Linked DNA regions of Caenorhabditis elegans. The protein of the gene in region 2 interacts with the protein of the main gene of each other region in a pairwise test. Each region holds a gene or a part of one and is shown on either strand. Other genes may lie near its edges.

What was found.
Region 1: the proteins of gsp-3 (region 2) and akt-2 interact in a two-hybrid assay, tested with the Caenorhabditis elegans proteins (one large-scale study listed by BioGRID).

What each region holds. Positions count from the first base shown.
Region 1 is NC_003284.9:14,144,266-14,154,065, reverse strand, and holds akt-2 (Serine/threonine-protein kinase akt-2), read right to left. Parts: upstream 6,367-9,800; 5' UTR 6,360-6,366; coding exon 6,265-6,359; intron 6,062-6,264; coding exon 5,953-6,061; intron 5,061-5,952; coding exon 4,860-5,060; intron 4,817-4,859; coding exon 4,697-4,816; intron 4,473-4,696; coding exon 4,275-4,472; intron 3,804-4,274; coding exon 3,612-3,803; intron 3,502-3,611; coding exon 3,373-3,501; intron 3,326-3,372; coding exon 2,963-3,325; coding exon of another isoform or gene 2,918-2,962; exon of another isoform or gene 2,686-2,917; coding exon 2,506-2,685; 3' UTR 2,098-2,505; downstream 1-2,097. UniProt on the Caenorhabditis elegans protein: Acts downstream of PI3 kinase age-1 and kinase pdk-1 in the daf-2/insulin receptor-like transduction pathway. Essential role in regulating developmental arrest at the dauer stage.
Region 2 is NC_003279.8:4,707,337-4,714,177, forward strand, and holds gsp-3 (Serine/threonine-protein phosphatase PP1-gamma), read right to left. Parts: upstream 3,377-6,841; 5' UTR 3,296-3,376; intron 3,101-3,295; 5' UTR 3,086-3,100; coding exon 2,630-3,085; intron 2,529-2,629; coding exon 2,136-2,528; intron 2,089-2,135; coding exon 2,020-2,088; 3' UTR 1,923-2,019; downstream 1-1,922. Other genes in the region: W09C3.3 (Methyltransferase FkbM domain-containing protein), read left to right, coding at 267-506, 569-640, 762-912, 961-1,031, 1,075-1,191, 1,262-1,426; W09C3.2 (uncharacterized protein), read left to right, coding at 4,092-4,134, 4,179-4,515, 4,827-5,163, 5,306-5,413, 5,547-5,879, 5,928-6,110.

The DNA.
Region 1 (9,800 bases), on a different chromosome or scaffold from region 2:
CACCCCTGAAAGTTGTCATGAACGTTTATATCTCGGCTCTCACTGGACCGAATTTTGAAATTCTTTTTTCTCCACATTCACAAAATATAGCGACGTGTGTTCATCTAAAAGGGGGTTGATTTTGGAGCATCCTGTCGGCTCCACAAGCGGAAAACCACAGCCTGCTTGTTTTTGCGCACACCGAAGTACTGGCCGAAAACCACTTTAAATTGAAGGAAAATTCGAGTTTCAATCGAAAACATTTGAGACTCGAAACTTAAGTTCTCCTTCCCAATACCTATCCATAGTATCCAAATTCATTGTGATATCTCTATTCGTTATTTTTAAAACGATAATTAAAGTTTTGCCAAAATTTCTGCACATTCCCCCTTTTCTCTCACACACACACCCACCTCCCCCTTTCATATTTGGTGTGTTTTCGGTCAGTTTTCACCATTGTTCCGGTCAAATCTCTGTTAGTCTTGCTTTTTTTCCAATTTTTTTTTGGAAAAATGTTGAATACATCGAGAGGAAGCGAAAAATATAATTTTTTTCCAAAAAAGGTGGATAATCGTATCAAAAATCGAAAAATGAACATTTATCTTGAACAATTTGCATTTTTCCATAAAATTCACAAACTTTCCACTATCGTTTCGGTTTTTATGTTAAATTTAGAGTTAATAGAATGATTCAAAATGGAATCTCAAATCACAGCTCTATCCGATCATTTTTCGCGGAGATAGGTTATTTAGTTTTTGCACATGGAAATCCAGTTTTCCTCTGTTCCTGGACAAGTTTTCTACTATGCTTTTGATTTTATTTTCTAATTTTGATAATTTTCACTAAAGAAAGGTAGACAATCTAAATTTGGTCGGCTATGACAACTTTCAGTTGACTAGTCTTTTGGATTATTTGAACGGATTGTTTTCAATCGATCATGTCGATTTGGCAATTGACCATGATCAACTTTTTGGGGAGTTCAAATCTGCTTTGAGCCACCCTTTGTTTCGGAAATGCCATTTTCTAAAACTTCTCGGACATTCGTACTTTGGCACTGAAGATATGGAATTTATATTGAAGAATTTCGATTCGAAATATGGATTCCTGACTTATTGTTTACACAAGGACAAGATTGATAGAAAGCTGGTAAGTTGAAAATATCTTTGCTGAATTATGAGCATATTCACATTTAAGTGGGCCAATATTCCACGATTGGACATCGAAAAAGGCCCAGGATTAACACTAGACGATTTGAAAATGATGGATTGCGAGAAAATGAGATTTTATGATCTCAATACAGTCTCGGCAACAAAACGGAATAAGTAAATTCATTACTGGCTGGCCGGGAATTCGCCGAAACTGAGAAGACTTCAATTGAACTACTGGTGGCATAATTGGACGGGCGAATTATTGAAAGGTTTATCATATTCCAAATGGAATCCAAAACGTAGAGCAAGAATCTTCTGGTATGTTTAATTAAGGTCTTTTCCAAATAATAACTTTCTGGAATTTTCAAGTCATAAAAATGGAGGGAATCATTCTGATATGCATTATTCTTGCTTAAAATCTAGGGGAAAACAGGGAAAAAATAAAAAGAAAAACTACACTTTAAAACCACATAAGCTAAGTCGAAACTTAAGCTTTCTAAGCCGACACCTGATTTCAATTTTAATGCTTAGCCTAACCTGAACCTAAGCCCAAGCCTTACACTTAACCGGAACATATGTCTAAACTTAAGCCTGCCAGTTGAAAATTCAGTTTTTTTTAAATTGTCGTTTCAGTGATGATCTTGAATTTGTGGATTGCACATATGGACTCGATATTGAGAGAAGTGATGGTCTACTCGAAACTATTCTAATCGAAAACTTTGCTATGTACTTTCTCGTATGGCATGACAGATTTCCACAGGATCCCCGAACATTGTTTCACTTCTCGAAATCTGTTTCAATTCCAATTACAACTTATTAAAAGCATTCGTTTTTCTATGTTCGAAAGTTTTGAGATATAATGCACTTTTTTATTAGACATTCAAAAACTGAACTAAATAAATTCTGATAAAAGTTTTCTTTGTTACTTGAACTGAGTATTTGTCTTAATGTAAAAGTACTGTTAAGTCATCCATGTGAGAAAGGTTCATTCCCGAGAAAAAATGTCGGCGACAAAATATCAAGAAAAAGATGTTATCAAGAAAAGGAACTGTGTTTTAAAAGTTTTAAATATACCCGAGAGATGGGTATATGAATCAAGTACTACAGAAAAACATGATAAAAGAGCATTGTCAAAAAAGTGATGCGAAATGGGGAGTTTTAACAGGAAAGGAATGGAAATTAGCCCAGAGGATGTGAGCAACACGAAATGTGCTCTACGCAAAGTTTCAGTTTTTGGAAAGGTTGAAATGTTTGAAAGAGATTTTGTTAAGTTCATGAAAGAGATAACAAGTTTTCAAAGGAGACAATGAAATGTTGACAAAATTGAGTGAATGAGAAAAAAACGTACAGAAAACACAAAAAATTGTTGAAAACAAAATCATCTTATTTCGTATTTGTCAGCGCTTCTGTTCGTATCATAAGATCGTTCCAAGCTTCCCGACACGTAGTATGACGCAAATTGTATGAAGTTGGCTTGTAATTCTTCTTCCTCATCAACTGTCGGAAGTTCTTCCCCTCTACGTGGAGGCGTCAGTTGGACCGGCATTGATGTGAACTCCTGAGTATATGTTAATATCATTTTTGAATCATTGGTTCTCTTATTTCTAGAAACTATGAAAACTGTTATGAAAATTGGAAAATCCTAGTCATTAAACAAAGTGTTGTTTGTGTTTCAGTATCAGTAAAAAAACTAAATGAAATCTTATGTACGTTGGCATACATTTTTTTAAAACTGTACTAAAAATAACAACACTTTGCCCTAATTGTAAATCGTTTACTCTAAAAATTACTCATATTGCTTCTGAAACTTTCAAAAGAATTGAAACGTAACGTACTCTGTCAAAGAAACTCGTGTCCGTTTCAGACATCACATTTGGCTTAAATGGAGGTTCGACTTCTTTTCTTAATGTTGCTTCCCAATCCACATCTTTGAAAAATTCAGCTCTCGAAACTTCACGTGCATCATCAGGACCGGCACCAAGCCGCTTAGCTGGGACCCTTTCGAGTAGTCCAGATAGTAATGTTACGGCTTCTGGGCTTAACCTATTCGGGAACTTCAAATCACATGTCGTAATTAGTTCGAAGAGTTTGCCGTTCTCCTTTGCTGAAAATGGAAGCCGTCCACACATCATTTCGTACATGACCACTCCGACTCCCCACCAGTCAACACTACGGTCATAGTCGATGTCTTCGATAACCTGAAACAATAGACTAATAACTTGACGCGAGAATTGAAAGGCTTTACCTCTGGTGCAAGGTATTCTGGTGTTCCGCAAAAGGTGCTTGTTTTATCTCCATATTTGATTTCCTCTTTGCACAACCCAAAGTCAGTGATTTTGATGTGACCATCTCTGTCGAGAAGCAAATTTTCGAGCTGAAAAAACAATGGAAAAAACAATGAAAAAACATCAAAGTTGTGAAATTCAAAAATTTCTGACAAATACTTCAAGTTGTGATAACCCCTCTCAAAAAGCTTCTACTTACTTTCATATCACGATACACAATATTTCTGTGATGAAGGTATCCAAGAGCAAGTATGATTTCCGATCCATAAAATCTTGTTCGTGCTTCGCTGAATGTTTTGCACCTCTGAAGATGGGTGAACAGCTCGCCACCATTTGCAAACTCCATCACAAAACAGATGTGATATTGTGCTTGGAAACTGTATTTAAGTAGCTGAAAAAATATATTTGTGGCACTGTGTCAACAACTGGGGAATTCAAATATTTTAAATAATTGTAAGTAAGATATATTTGTAAAGTTATGGCAATCGATAAATTTATAGGAAATATGTATTTCAGAGTTTCTTAGAGAAAAAAAATATGGTTCCACGGAAACGCCCGCCCTACTTCGGCACGCCCATGCGCCAGCATTATCACACTCTGTGTACTGCTGCCGACGCCGCGCAGGACCTCGCGCCACTATAGCTACGTGCAACAGAGAAAGGCGATGTTGTGAGGGCGGCGGGAGTGTGGGGCGTATTGTGGTGCTGGCGGGCGAGAGTAGCGCCATCGTTGAAATCCTAGTGTGCATTTATCCGTCTCTCTAAACATGATTTTTTCACGAAAAAAATCATCTACTTCAATTTTCACTGACATCTGCCAACATTGTACACCGACTCAATATTTTTTCGACCAATAAGCATACCGTGAGAAAAGGGTGAACGCAAGCATACAGAACTCGATTTTCAGTCAAAGTGTGGGCCACCTCAGAACGATCAACGACCATTTCTTTTCTGATAATCTTAATGGCGTAGAGCTTATCAGAACTTTTCTCCCTGCACAAAATAACTTTTCCGAAGGTTCCTTGACCGAGAACTTTGAGGAAGTCAAAATCGTCCATCGTCTGCAAAATTAAATAACTACATACATTTAAGAAATAATAGAGATACAAAGCAAAACTTGAATTTTTAGCGGAAAATCAGAAAAAAAAGTTTCGCTCAACCTGTCAACCAAAAAAAACTTGTTGCGCCTTTCGAGTTAATCATTTTTACTCAAAAAACTTTCTTTAAAAACCTCTTATTTCCACATATCAATACGTGGATTTGTTGGCAGGATTTTGAAACTTACCACTGTATTTTTTCTTGGAACTTCCTCTGGTTCGTCGATATTCATTACAGTTGACTCAAAATCATTATCCGAACGGGTGCTTGTTGCGTCCATGTTCACATCACTTTCTCCAGACGGATTCTAAAAAATTTCATGAAAATTTTGAATCTCTTTACTTTCATACTCCATTAGTATCTTCCTCCTGCATGCTGGTATTTCCTGCATTTTCTTTCAAACGATTGTGACTGGATACAGCTTGAATTGCTTCAATCCACATCTGACGGAAGTCGGCGCTATCCGCATAAAATGTGCGTTCAATGACAGTGGTCCATTGGAGACATCGCACGATAAACATATTTGGTCGAGGTTTGTCAAGGCAAACCGTCTGAAATAAAGCATTTTGGTAGTTGCGGTTTTCAATATGGAAACTGCCTACTGGCAATTACTTAAAAACTTATTTGAAGTTCAGCTAAGGTTTTCAAATTTTTACTAAAGAGGGATTTCTACATATGTATATTACTGGGGTACTAACTTTCTGCTTAAAGGTGGAGTAGAGCCAGGGAAGATTTTGTTCAAACACATTTTTAATAATCCAAAATGTCCGAATATCATAATGAAGCATTCCAATAAATTTTAGATTTTTCATAATTTCCGGTCAAAGTTTTGGCAAATTGCCAAAGTTTTGAAAAGTATGAGTTTTTGAAGAAATCGAAAGCAATGTCGAATGTTCCGACCAGGGGTGTGCGGCAAATTTCGAAATTTGCCGCACACGTCAAAAATTTGACAGTACAATTTTGACTAAAACTGTTGATTTTTTCGCCAAAAATTTAGTAAAATGACAACAAATTGAGTTATTTTGATGTTTAAGCAGACACACTACATCTAACTTGTTCAGAAACCAGAGGTGTGTTAAGAATTCAGTAGTTTCGGTGCTCCAAAAAATATCAAAAAATATATAATTTTTCCGATTTTGTTAAGCACGGCAAATTTGCCGAATTGGCCGTGCTCGGCAAATAATGGAAAAATAGATTTGCCGAATTTGCCGAGCTCGGTAAATTTTGAGATTTGCCGCACACCCCTGGTTCCGACCCTTACAATGTTTCAATGGATATAATTAAAACAGATATACAGTATAAAAAATGTTGGAAAAAATTCTTTTTGTCGACTTCCAAAATAATGGGTGGCAAAAACTTAGTAAATTGTCTGGCGCTACTCCACCTTTAAAAGCAACGATTTTGAAAACTTTCTAGTAACCATCTACAGGTTCAAAAACTTACCGCTGCGTCTCTAATCATAAAATTATTCAGTGGCTCTGGTAACGGCTGATCTTCCTTTGGCTTTGACCGGAATCCAAGCAACGTTCCATCTCGAAACAAGATGAAGTACCTAAAATACTGACATCTTAGGATTTAATTTTCATTTATTTCCAAATTAGTTTTGGTTTCCTGTTGGAAGATTTTCATTTCCAATTCAGTGCAATTAAAGTGAAAACTTTTTGAATATCTTTTCATAAGGGACAGTAGCTATGAAACTTAAAACTACTGTACTAGATTGGATACATAGGCCTGGTAAAACAATGAAAAACTTACCTGGGGCGCCAATTACGAATGTGCTCTCCTTTCTTGTGAAGCCAACTTTCAATAACAATGTCTTCTTTTTGTAGATGGGCGTTTTCAGTAGACATTTTTACGCTGTAAATAGTGATAATTCTTTCAGAGATTTTGTTTTAAAAAAGAAAAATACGTCGTTAAAAAAATACAATTAAAAGGTAGTTTTAAATTATGGTATTTATGTACTATACCTGCCCCAAAAATGGAAAACCACGTGTCCCACTACGGTGTGATCTACAAAAAATGCGGGACTTTTTAGCCACAAAAATGTGACGTCAGCACGTTCTTAACCATGCAAAATTAGTTGAGAGCTCTGCGTCTCTTCTCCCGCATTTTTTGTAGATCTACGTAGATCAAGCCGAAATTAGACATTCTGACACCACGTGGAAACCCTATTGGCAAAAATTTTTAGGGCAGATATACTACACGAGCACTTAAATATTACAACTTTTCCATTACATCTTAAAAATTTACAAACATAGTTTGAACTTCATGGTTATGAAACATTTATAACAATTTAGTTTTAATTGATCATATTTTCAATAAGGCTTTGAAGTTTAATTTTTTTAATTCAACACTAATTAGGTTCTACGACAATTTTTCCTCCAAAAAAAAATCTAACGAACTAAGAATTCATAGCTTTGATAAAACACGAAAAAAAAAAGAAGAAAATAGTCGTTGGCTACGAAAGACTATGGGAAAAACAAACACCCCTAGTGACGTATTGTGGCAAACAGAGGAAAAGGACAGAAGGAAAAGATTGCAGACAAAACTTGAGCGGAGAAGCAGAGAAACGCCGGCAAGAGAGATGAGAGAGAAATAGAGATAGCAGCGAAGAGAGGGGATGTGACCTTTTTTGCTGCGGCAGGAAAAAGGACGAAAACAACTTCAGACACTATTTCTCCCCCCGTCAACAGCATCACGAGAAAGGTTGCGTTTGAATATTGATTTTTTTGGAAAGCGAGATTTGTTTTCAAAAAAAAAAAGAAGAAAATTCTGGAATAATGAAATATGAGAAACATGTGCGTGAAACTAAACATTTTCAAATAACGAGGGAATGTGAATTCTGGTGGATCAAGTATAAAGCAAAATTATTTTATGTACGCAATACGTTGCTCACAATTTAATAACATTTAGTAACTTGTTTTCTCTTCAAAACAAATTATTATTCGAATTTAACTTGGGGAAAATTATATAAACCACCTTAAACAAAGATTCAAGTGACTGTATTATTGTTTTGTAATATCATAAATGCGTTATAATGAAATTTCCACTGACACGTGGTGTCAAATTGTCTCAGTTCTGTTTGATCTACGTAGATCTACAAAATTCGCGGGAATTTAGACGCAGACATTTCAACTGAATGCGCATGGCTAAGAGTGTGCTGACGTCATATTTTTTGGGGGAAAAAATTCCCGCATGTTTTGTAGATCAGACCGTGATGGGACTGCCTGCCACCACGTGCACAAGAGCTACTCCACCTTTGCTGCAAATCTCTATTCTTTTGGTTAACTGAACAAAAAGTTTAAGCAGAAAGAGGCGTATTTCACTGGAAGTAGAAGTGTGATGTTATATACAATTTTAGTTATTTAAAGCGGAATAATTTAACGAGGTATTCCTGTGAATTTTGACTGTAGGCGTTCGTCTACTTATTTCCGCCGTTCCGTGCAATTTTAGTAAAAATCTATAATTTTGAAATCTCTAAAATAAAAATGAATTTCAAAAATGTATAATATTTCCTAACGTCTAGTGGAACTACATAGGTAACTTTTTGTCTGGAGTAAAATGGGCATGGTGTTGAAACAGTGAAATATGTGATTTCCTTGTGATATTTGTTGTATGACAACCGTCTTACTTTGAAAAAACCAACGAAGCAAAAAAAGCATGCGGTCGGAAGAAAGTGGTAAACAACTTGCCAAGTGAAAAATGCATCCAAAACCACAAGATGATAAGACAACCGACAAACAAAAAACACAACATAAACTGTAAAATGCCGGTTTTTTAAGTGTCGCAAGACATTAAATAACAAATTTTTGAAGTTTCGCAACTCTCTTTTTCTATATTGTTTACCAGATGTGCAGTTTTTTTTCTTTTATAATAATATGAACTACTAAAAACAAAGAATATACATTTTAGAGATTCCGAAAAAACGACAAAAAAAACCGAAAACGTGGGATTTGATCTCTGAAAATCCACAAACAAGCATGTCAACAACGTCTATTATTCAGTTGTTTTTTGGTGTGTAGTCCTTTATATAGAACAAGGACACCACAAAAACAGAAACGTGCAAAATATAAAAAAAAAGACATATTAATTACTCGTTCTTCTCGCAGTGGACAGATATGAATTTTTATTCGAATATACTGCTATTTTGTATATTTTGTCTGCATTGTTGTTATTAGGCCTGTGGAGTGGGTCGCCCCATTTTTTTTGGGTCGGCCGGGTTGGGGTCGCGTCCCCGACCCATTTTTTGGGTCGGGGTTGCGGCCCCGACCCACTTTTTGGGTCGGGGTCATGTCCCCGACCCATTTTTTTCAAAATTTAACAGAAAGTTATCAAAAACTTGAAAAACTATTTTTTGTCAAAAAACACGTGTAAAAGCTGAAAATTATAAAATTATCGTATTTTCATCAATTAAAAAAACATATCCTATTTTCGATACAAACAAGCATAAGAGTCAACGTTTAAACACGATTTACAACAAAACAAACTTTTTTTTTCAATTTCAGACATTTTCCGAAAATGGGTCGGGGACGCGACCCCGACCCAAAATTGGGTCGCGGGTCGACCCATCTCGACCCATTCAACAGGCCTAGTTGTTATTAGCTTACAGTTTCAATCGGTAGGCACTCAATTTTTGGTATATTTGGAAGCCGATTATCCGAAAATGCACGTAAAAACACGGAATAAACAATTTAAATTAAATAGAAAGTATCAATTAAAAATATTAACAGCGCATTTCAAAAATATTAAAAGTTATTAAAAAATACAACTGAAATGGAATAAAATAACTTGAAAGCAAGACTGATAAAAGTTCACATTTTAGTAAGACAAATAGATAAGGACTGGAAATGTATGTCTCAATTGATATTATTGAGTGCAGGTCCAATAGAGAAATAAATGTAGCATAAGTATTAAAGCAACATCGTTTTGAAAATACTGTAGCTTTGAAATCTCAAACAGGTCGGCAAACCGGAAACATAAAATAAGGAAAATTTAAACAGTTCTCTACAGAGCATGCTTGAGTTCTCGTAAATACTTAACGTGTTTTTGACATGGTGAATATGGGAAATTGATGATTGGAAAGGATCTGTCAACATTTTTTAAAAAATCCTATTTTTCCAAGCAAATATAATAATATGGGTTAATTACAAGTCGTGAAAGGTTAATTAATTCAGATATTATACGATTGTTTTTTTAGATTTGTTAGGTCTGCAAAGAAGGATGGAAAAAGGACCCTTAAAGTAGATGTAAGAGTGGAGTCAGTGAAAATGGGGAACAGACAGATAAATAGT
Region 2 (6,841 bases):
TTTGAAACAAGTCCCCGAAAAAACATTTAAAAAAAGATAATTTTAAGTCAGATATTAATTTTTAAATTTATGCAAATTCAGTAAATCTCCCTATAAAAAAATGCGGTCATTTATATGTCTGAAGGCCAGTTTTTTTGATTGAACTGGAAGCTTCTGGCACCTAGAAAAATTTAGATATTAAATTCTGAAAACGCTTGAAATTTGAAAGAAGTCCCCGAAAAAACATTTTCAAAAAAAGTTCATTTCAAGTCAGATTTTTCTTTCAGATCACTCGAAACGGCAAAACTCTAATCCAGCTGAATTCTTTTAAACCAAAGTTTTTCGAAGAATGGAATTCGTGCGTTGCTCAAAAATTTCTGGACATAACTACGAACGCAGAAGACTTTTGGAACAGTTTCAAGGGAAAATCTCGAACTTGTGATTTTGATACAAATGTCCATCAATCTCTACGAGCTATTCCACTGAAAAATTCCGATGAGGTTAAATATGCAATATTGCCAGTTCGTGTGAGTTTTTGAATTTTTGAATTAACGATTTCCACTTTTTTACGAATTGAAATTTGTTTTAGAACACTCTGAAAGATGTGTTTATAACACTTGGGATTGGACAGGATATAAGTGCTGAGGTGGCGTTTCAGAAGGTAAGAACAAGCGCGGCAAATATTAATACATCATATTTAACTAGCAATTGTAAGAAAAATTGACGAAAATTTACTTTTGTTGGTAGCTTTTTACAGTGTTAAAAACATATTTTTAATTCAGGAAATGCACAACATTGGACACAATGTTACTTTCTATGGAGCTGACCCAATTGTGGAAGGAAATTCAGTTTTATATTCAAAAATTGGAAAATATTTCCCATTTGCTGTTGGTGAGAAAGCTGGATTTTCAATGGCTAGTGTACTTTCGAAAGGTGGGAAAACTTACGAAGTTTTAATTTTAATTTTTTTTGAATTTCCAGGAGAATACATTAGTATGCCAGTAGTTCATGTAGATTTATATTACTTTTTGAAAGAAGTTCTTGGTGAAAAAGTAAGAAATATCTTGAATTTTAAAACGAAAAGACTTTTTAAAGGTTATTGATTATTTATGGATGGATTCTGAATACTCTGAATATGGGACTTTCGATATTTTCTATAAAAATGGAAAATTAGAACAATTAGGAATTACTTTTTGTCAAATGAGTTTGGAAGTGAGTTACTTCAGTTTAAATTTACATTTGAAACTTCCATTAATCTATAGTGAGAATATTCATATTCCAGGTTCACAACCCAAGCAAAGAACAAAAAGAACAGTTCATGACATTTATTAAACGATTGGTTGAAGAAAAATCGTTTGGATTCTTCTTCAGTGACAATGTTGGACACATGAGAATGTGGCTTTTCAATTTTGAAAGCGAATATTGTGTTCGAAAATTTTTTAATTGATTTATTTTCTATTTTTGCTGAGCGACACATTACGGGAATTTTTTTTTTTCAAAAAACAGCTTCACAAATGAGGAAAATATTAATGTTATTAATTAATTTTAATTGAATAAAAATTTGTTTCTATTTTTTTGAATTCTAAAATTTTTTAAAACATGTGCAAAATGTGCATTTTTGATAACCTCCATCCAACAGAATGCATCCGATTTGCCACCCAAGTTCACATGCTTTCCTTGTCGTACGCCGTTCTGCAATATTTTTCAAACATTCAAGAATACTTTTCTCGAAATTACACTCGAATATGATTTCAGGATGCGAACTTTTTTGTCTGATAATACATTCTTGCCTGCCTACCTAGGTATCCTTTGTGCCTGTTTCACTTCGGCTAAATAGGCGGTTTTTGTCTTATAAGCTATCTGCGCAGACACCGTATTTAGCGCGGAAACATGATTGCTAATTGCTGATGTGTGCCCGGAAAAAAAGCAATTAAAACAAAGAAGAATTTTCCTCAATCATTCATTCATTTAAACACACAGACTTCAACTGATTTATCTCATTTGGTTGGTTGGTTGGATGGTGGTGACAGTTTGCAGAGCTTATCCTCGACGCATGGACTTCGGAGTTGGCTTGTACATGACGAAAGTGCAGACCATGTTCTCATCGACCTAAAATATTCGATTTTTCACAAAGAAGTTGTAATAAAGAATCTCACCTTCATTGTTGCAGCCGAATTGTCAAACTGTCCGCAGTAGTGAGGTGCCGAGAAAATGGTGACCATCTTCTTGGAGGCAAAGAACTCGTAGCCGTCTTGAACGACTTGATGTGCACGAGCAACCAAGTCGATGTCAAGTCTCGAGCAAACGTCAGCAACAACATCCTGTCCAAAGACATAAGAGACTCCACGAGTATTTGCCTGCCATCCCTTCACCCATTGATCAGGGTCAGCCCACAACAAGTCGATTCCGATCGATGGATTTGGTGGATCCTGGGGGCGTGGCAGTTGGCGAAGTTGATCAAGAGTTTGAAGATGTGGGGACAGACCACCATGCATGCAAAGGATGCGGGAACCAATGAGTCCACAGAGAGGCATCCAGTTGAAAGTGTCCTGAAATTTGGAGAATTAGGGAGTTGTTTCATTCTTCGCAGCGAAGTGATAATCCGCTACAGAAAGGGGACAAAGTTCGACAAAGTGTCTGCTCTCCTTACCTGGAAGATTGACCAGAGACGAGTCGACTTGTAACGACGGTTGCACTCCTCGTAGAACCCATAAACACGGTTGATGGCTGGGCACTCGTGGTTTCCACGAAGCATGAAGAAGTTCTCTGGATACTTGATCTTGAAACATAACATCAAACAGATCGTCTCGATATTCTGTCTTCCACGATCCACATAGTCTCCAAGGAACAGGAAATTGACATCAGGCGGGAATCCGTTCTTGTCAAAGATGCGCAAGAGATCCGAGTACTGTCCGTGGATATCTCCGCACACGATGATCGGCGGCTCAACCTCCAGGAGTGATGCTTGGGAGGCGAATACCGATTTGGCCACAGCACAGCAAGTCTGGAGTTCCTGCTCGTTGACAGAAGTTGTCAGTCTTCCACCGGACATGCCGACATTGAGCAAACGGCTCATCAAGTTATCGACATCCATTGGCGCTGTCATTATTGTTCTTCTTTACTGAAAAATTATTGATTTATTGGTTGTCAACAAGAATGATGCATCGGAGGGCTTCCACATAGGTAACAAAACGCCTGCCGCGGCGGCCGTGCGGCGACGGCAGGTTTTGAAACAGTGCCTGCCTCCCATGGAAGCCCGATGACCTAGTACACCGATTGAATGCATCACATTTCGCATCGATACCACAAAACATACCTTTGGTAGGCCCGGAGCGATGATCCAAAGTTGTCGTCCGTCGCAAGAATCGTACAATGATTGAATTCTTCAATTCTCAACCACACGTTGACTTTTATCAGCACGTGCAATCTTTTGGTAATTTTTTTTCGCGAGGTCAATTACACGCAAAATTGTTTTGATAATTTTGTTTTTTAGTTTTTCGGACTTCCAATTAAAGGAAATCGGACTTAAAAATAAGACGTTTGCCATTAGAACGCTTATTTTTAAACTAGGACTTCTAGACAAAATGTTTGCTGCGGAACTCAACTCTGATCCCCTGAAAACGCGGGCTGAATAGTTTCCTGGAAGCTTTTTGAAAAATTGTTAAAAATCTAAAAAAAAATTCATCCAACTCGATCAAAAATAATTCCAAATTCAAATAAAAGTCAGGAAGTTTGCCTATTAATAGTAATATTACTAAGAACATTTAAAATCATCGAAAACTTGCGAAAAAACTTTTTTAAAAGTTAATTTTTCGCAAAAACGCAGAAAATAGGCGTTAAGCAAAAGGATAAGTAGATATAAAGGTGTGCCTGCCTACCTTTTAGGTATTGAAATTATCTAACAAATGTACCATTAGAAACAATTGGGTTGGTTAAATAATTGAATTTGTACTTTTTGGGATCTTTAGTGCCTGGGAAGATTTTTCCAAATCGATTTTATCTCCTTTCTTAAAAAAAAAAGAAATCACATTTAAAACGTGAAGATTTCTGGTTATTTAAATTTAAAAAAAAACTAAAGCTATTCTCTGTTCCAAATTTATTTCCAATCAAACATGAGCCTCCACTTTGTGCTCTTTCACAGTTCTCTTAACTATTGTAAGTTCTACTGTTTCCCGCTTAAAATCCCATTGATTTTCCAGTGTATCTAGCTGCAATTGCAAGTTTAACTGCAATTCTAATATCAATTGGATGTACATCTGGACACCGGGAAAATCAACGACACAAGGATCGGAGTGATATGGAGAGCAAATGGAGTTTGAAGAGCTTCAAAAGTAAGAAGAAGCTGAGAAAAGTGAATGGTGATAAGATTAAAAAGAGCAAGAAGAGTAAGAAGAGTAAGAGAAAGGAGGTAACAGTAGATAAAGAGGATAATGAAGATGAGAAGAAAGATGAAAATCTGGAGAAGAAGTTGAAGAAGGATGATGGAAGCTCGCGGGAAAAAGTGGAAGACCAGGAACAGTCTAGGAAAATTGATAGGTAGGATAGGATCAGAACCACGTAAAATTACAAGGCTGCAAATGCACGAATAAACCCAATTGAAAGTGAAAAATACATGAGAATAAGAGAAAAATGAGTTTTCTTTGTACACTTCCCGCAGTTCTTATATTTCACAGTTGATTCGCATAACTCGACCGTTTGTAATTTTCACATTGTGAGCGTTTGCAGTCTCAGTGTGAGCATTATGTCTGATTTATTTTTTGGCAATTGTGCTGAAAATAATTTCAATCGAACAATTAAATCAAGTTCATTTTTGGACCTAATTTTGAAGTAAAGCTGTATTTTTTCAGAAGTATCAAAGATCGTAACCCCAAAAGTTTGGAACAAAAAAGTCATCAGAAAAATGTTGGTGAAGGATCAAAGCGTACTAGTAGCTCTAGAAAGCCAGAAGAACCAGAACGTAGCAGAAGAGATGATAGAAATCGTTTAAGAAGTGAAAAAACAGCCCAGGGCAGTTCGAAAAGCCTTCGGAAACAAGTGAGCAATCGGAGCAAGAGAAGTTCAAGTGACAGGGAAGAACGGGAAAAGCCAAAGATGATTTCAAGCACGAAGAATATTAAAAGCAAGGAGTCCAGTAACGAAAAGAGCCAACGTGGAAGTATTCGAACAAGTGCAGTGAAGCAAGTGGTGAGTTCTAATGGAGCATGTTGAAAAAGAAGATCGGTTTTGAGTTTGGAATAGTAGTAATAGGAATCTAGGCACACACACGATACAATCAAATTTACAGTGCAGAAAAAATTTGGATTTTCTGCAACAGGAATACTTTCAGCAACCAAAATCTGGTTCCAAGCGAGGATCAGTCAGAGAGAGCACGACGAAGAAGCAGTTATTGGAAAAGAATGAAAGCAAGAAAGCTCCATCCGTGAAAGATGATAAGGTGAGTAGTAGGCACGTAATCAGGCTTGAAACAGGTCTTACCAGTTCACATATTTGCGTTTGGTTTTTTTTTTCAAAATTTGCGTGTAGGCACGTAGGCCCCGTAACGCCTCAACTCAATTTTTGTTTTTCAGAGTTCCAAACCCGCGCCAAAAAACCCAAGTTGTGAACGTACTCTAATGAAAACTCAACCATTGTCTGAAGCTCGATCGATCTACGTTGGAACAGGACAGTCGACATATGAATCGAAGCCAGAAAAAAGTAATGGTGGATCGATTTACGCTACAGCTTTACCTGCAATAGTTCCACCGGATCAGGTTCAAAAAGCTTCTTCAATTCGTAAACCTGCTACAGTGACACCCGACAAGTCAATCAAAAAGTCTGCTAGCAGAAAGAGGTCGGAAAAACAAGAAATGCAACTTGTCCGGTATGAATTGACACCAAAAAAGTCGAAGAAGTCTGCAAAAGTGAGCACTTTTCCTTGCGTTTTTAATGATATTAGTTAATTTTTTCAGATAATTCATCACGCAGCTCTTCCTCCAAACATGATGAAAACTTCTTCTAAGCCTAATCCATCTCCATCTAAGAAAACTCAAAAAGCAAAGGAGAAAGCTAAAAAGAGGTCGAAAAATCTGGGAGCAAAAAAGTCGTCGAGCACTGTGAAAGCCGAGCCGAAACGATCGAAAAATCAAAAATGAAATGGCTTGAAACGTTGGAAAAGTAGAGTCTCCAGTATGAAAGTTTGCATGTATTGTCTCCATTGTCTCTTTACGAAATTGAACTATTACTCGTGTATTTGTAGTATTCGAATAAAAACTGAAGAGAAAAAACATTATTTGGTTAAAGTTTCAGGGAATTTCAAGTGTATTCAAACGGTGATATGAGTATTTGATTCCTTGACTCTGGATAAAAATATTTATGCGCCTTGCTGAAATATGAAACTCCGTCGTAATAAGGTCTCGTTAAATAGAAATTTCATCTGCACATTGCAGATTTATCCGCGTTCACTTTTCCATTAAACAAATTTCGATTTTTGACAGCAGATTTTCCACCTCTACTCGTCCAACGAGAGGCGTCTTTTTTGGTTCCTCATAGAAATCCTACTTTTGACAAATCGGATAGAAAAATTTGGAATTTAATTCACTGGTTTCTCGAAACTAGAGATTTCTTGAAATGAATCTGGAACGCGGAATAAAAACTGAAAATGATAAACCTTGATCACTTCTAACAAAACCATGAATGCGATTGGCAGCAGATTTTCTTTCTTTACTCACCCGATATCGTCCTAAAGTCGCTGGCCATCGAAAGTTTTAGGATGTTTTGCTACTTTGGAAAATCATCTAAAATTATCACTGCCCCGCTGACGTCTTTTTTTGTCCCTCATAGAAGTCCCACTTTTGACAAATCGGACAGAAAAGTTCGAATTACG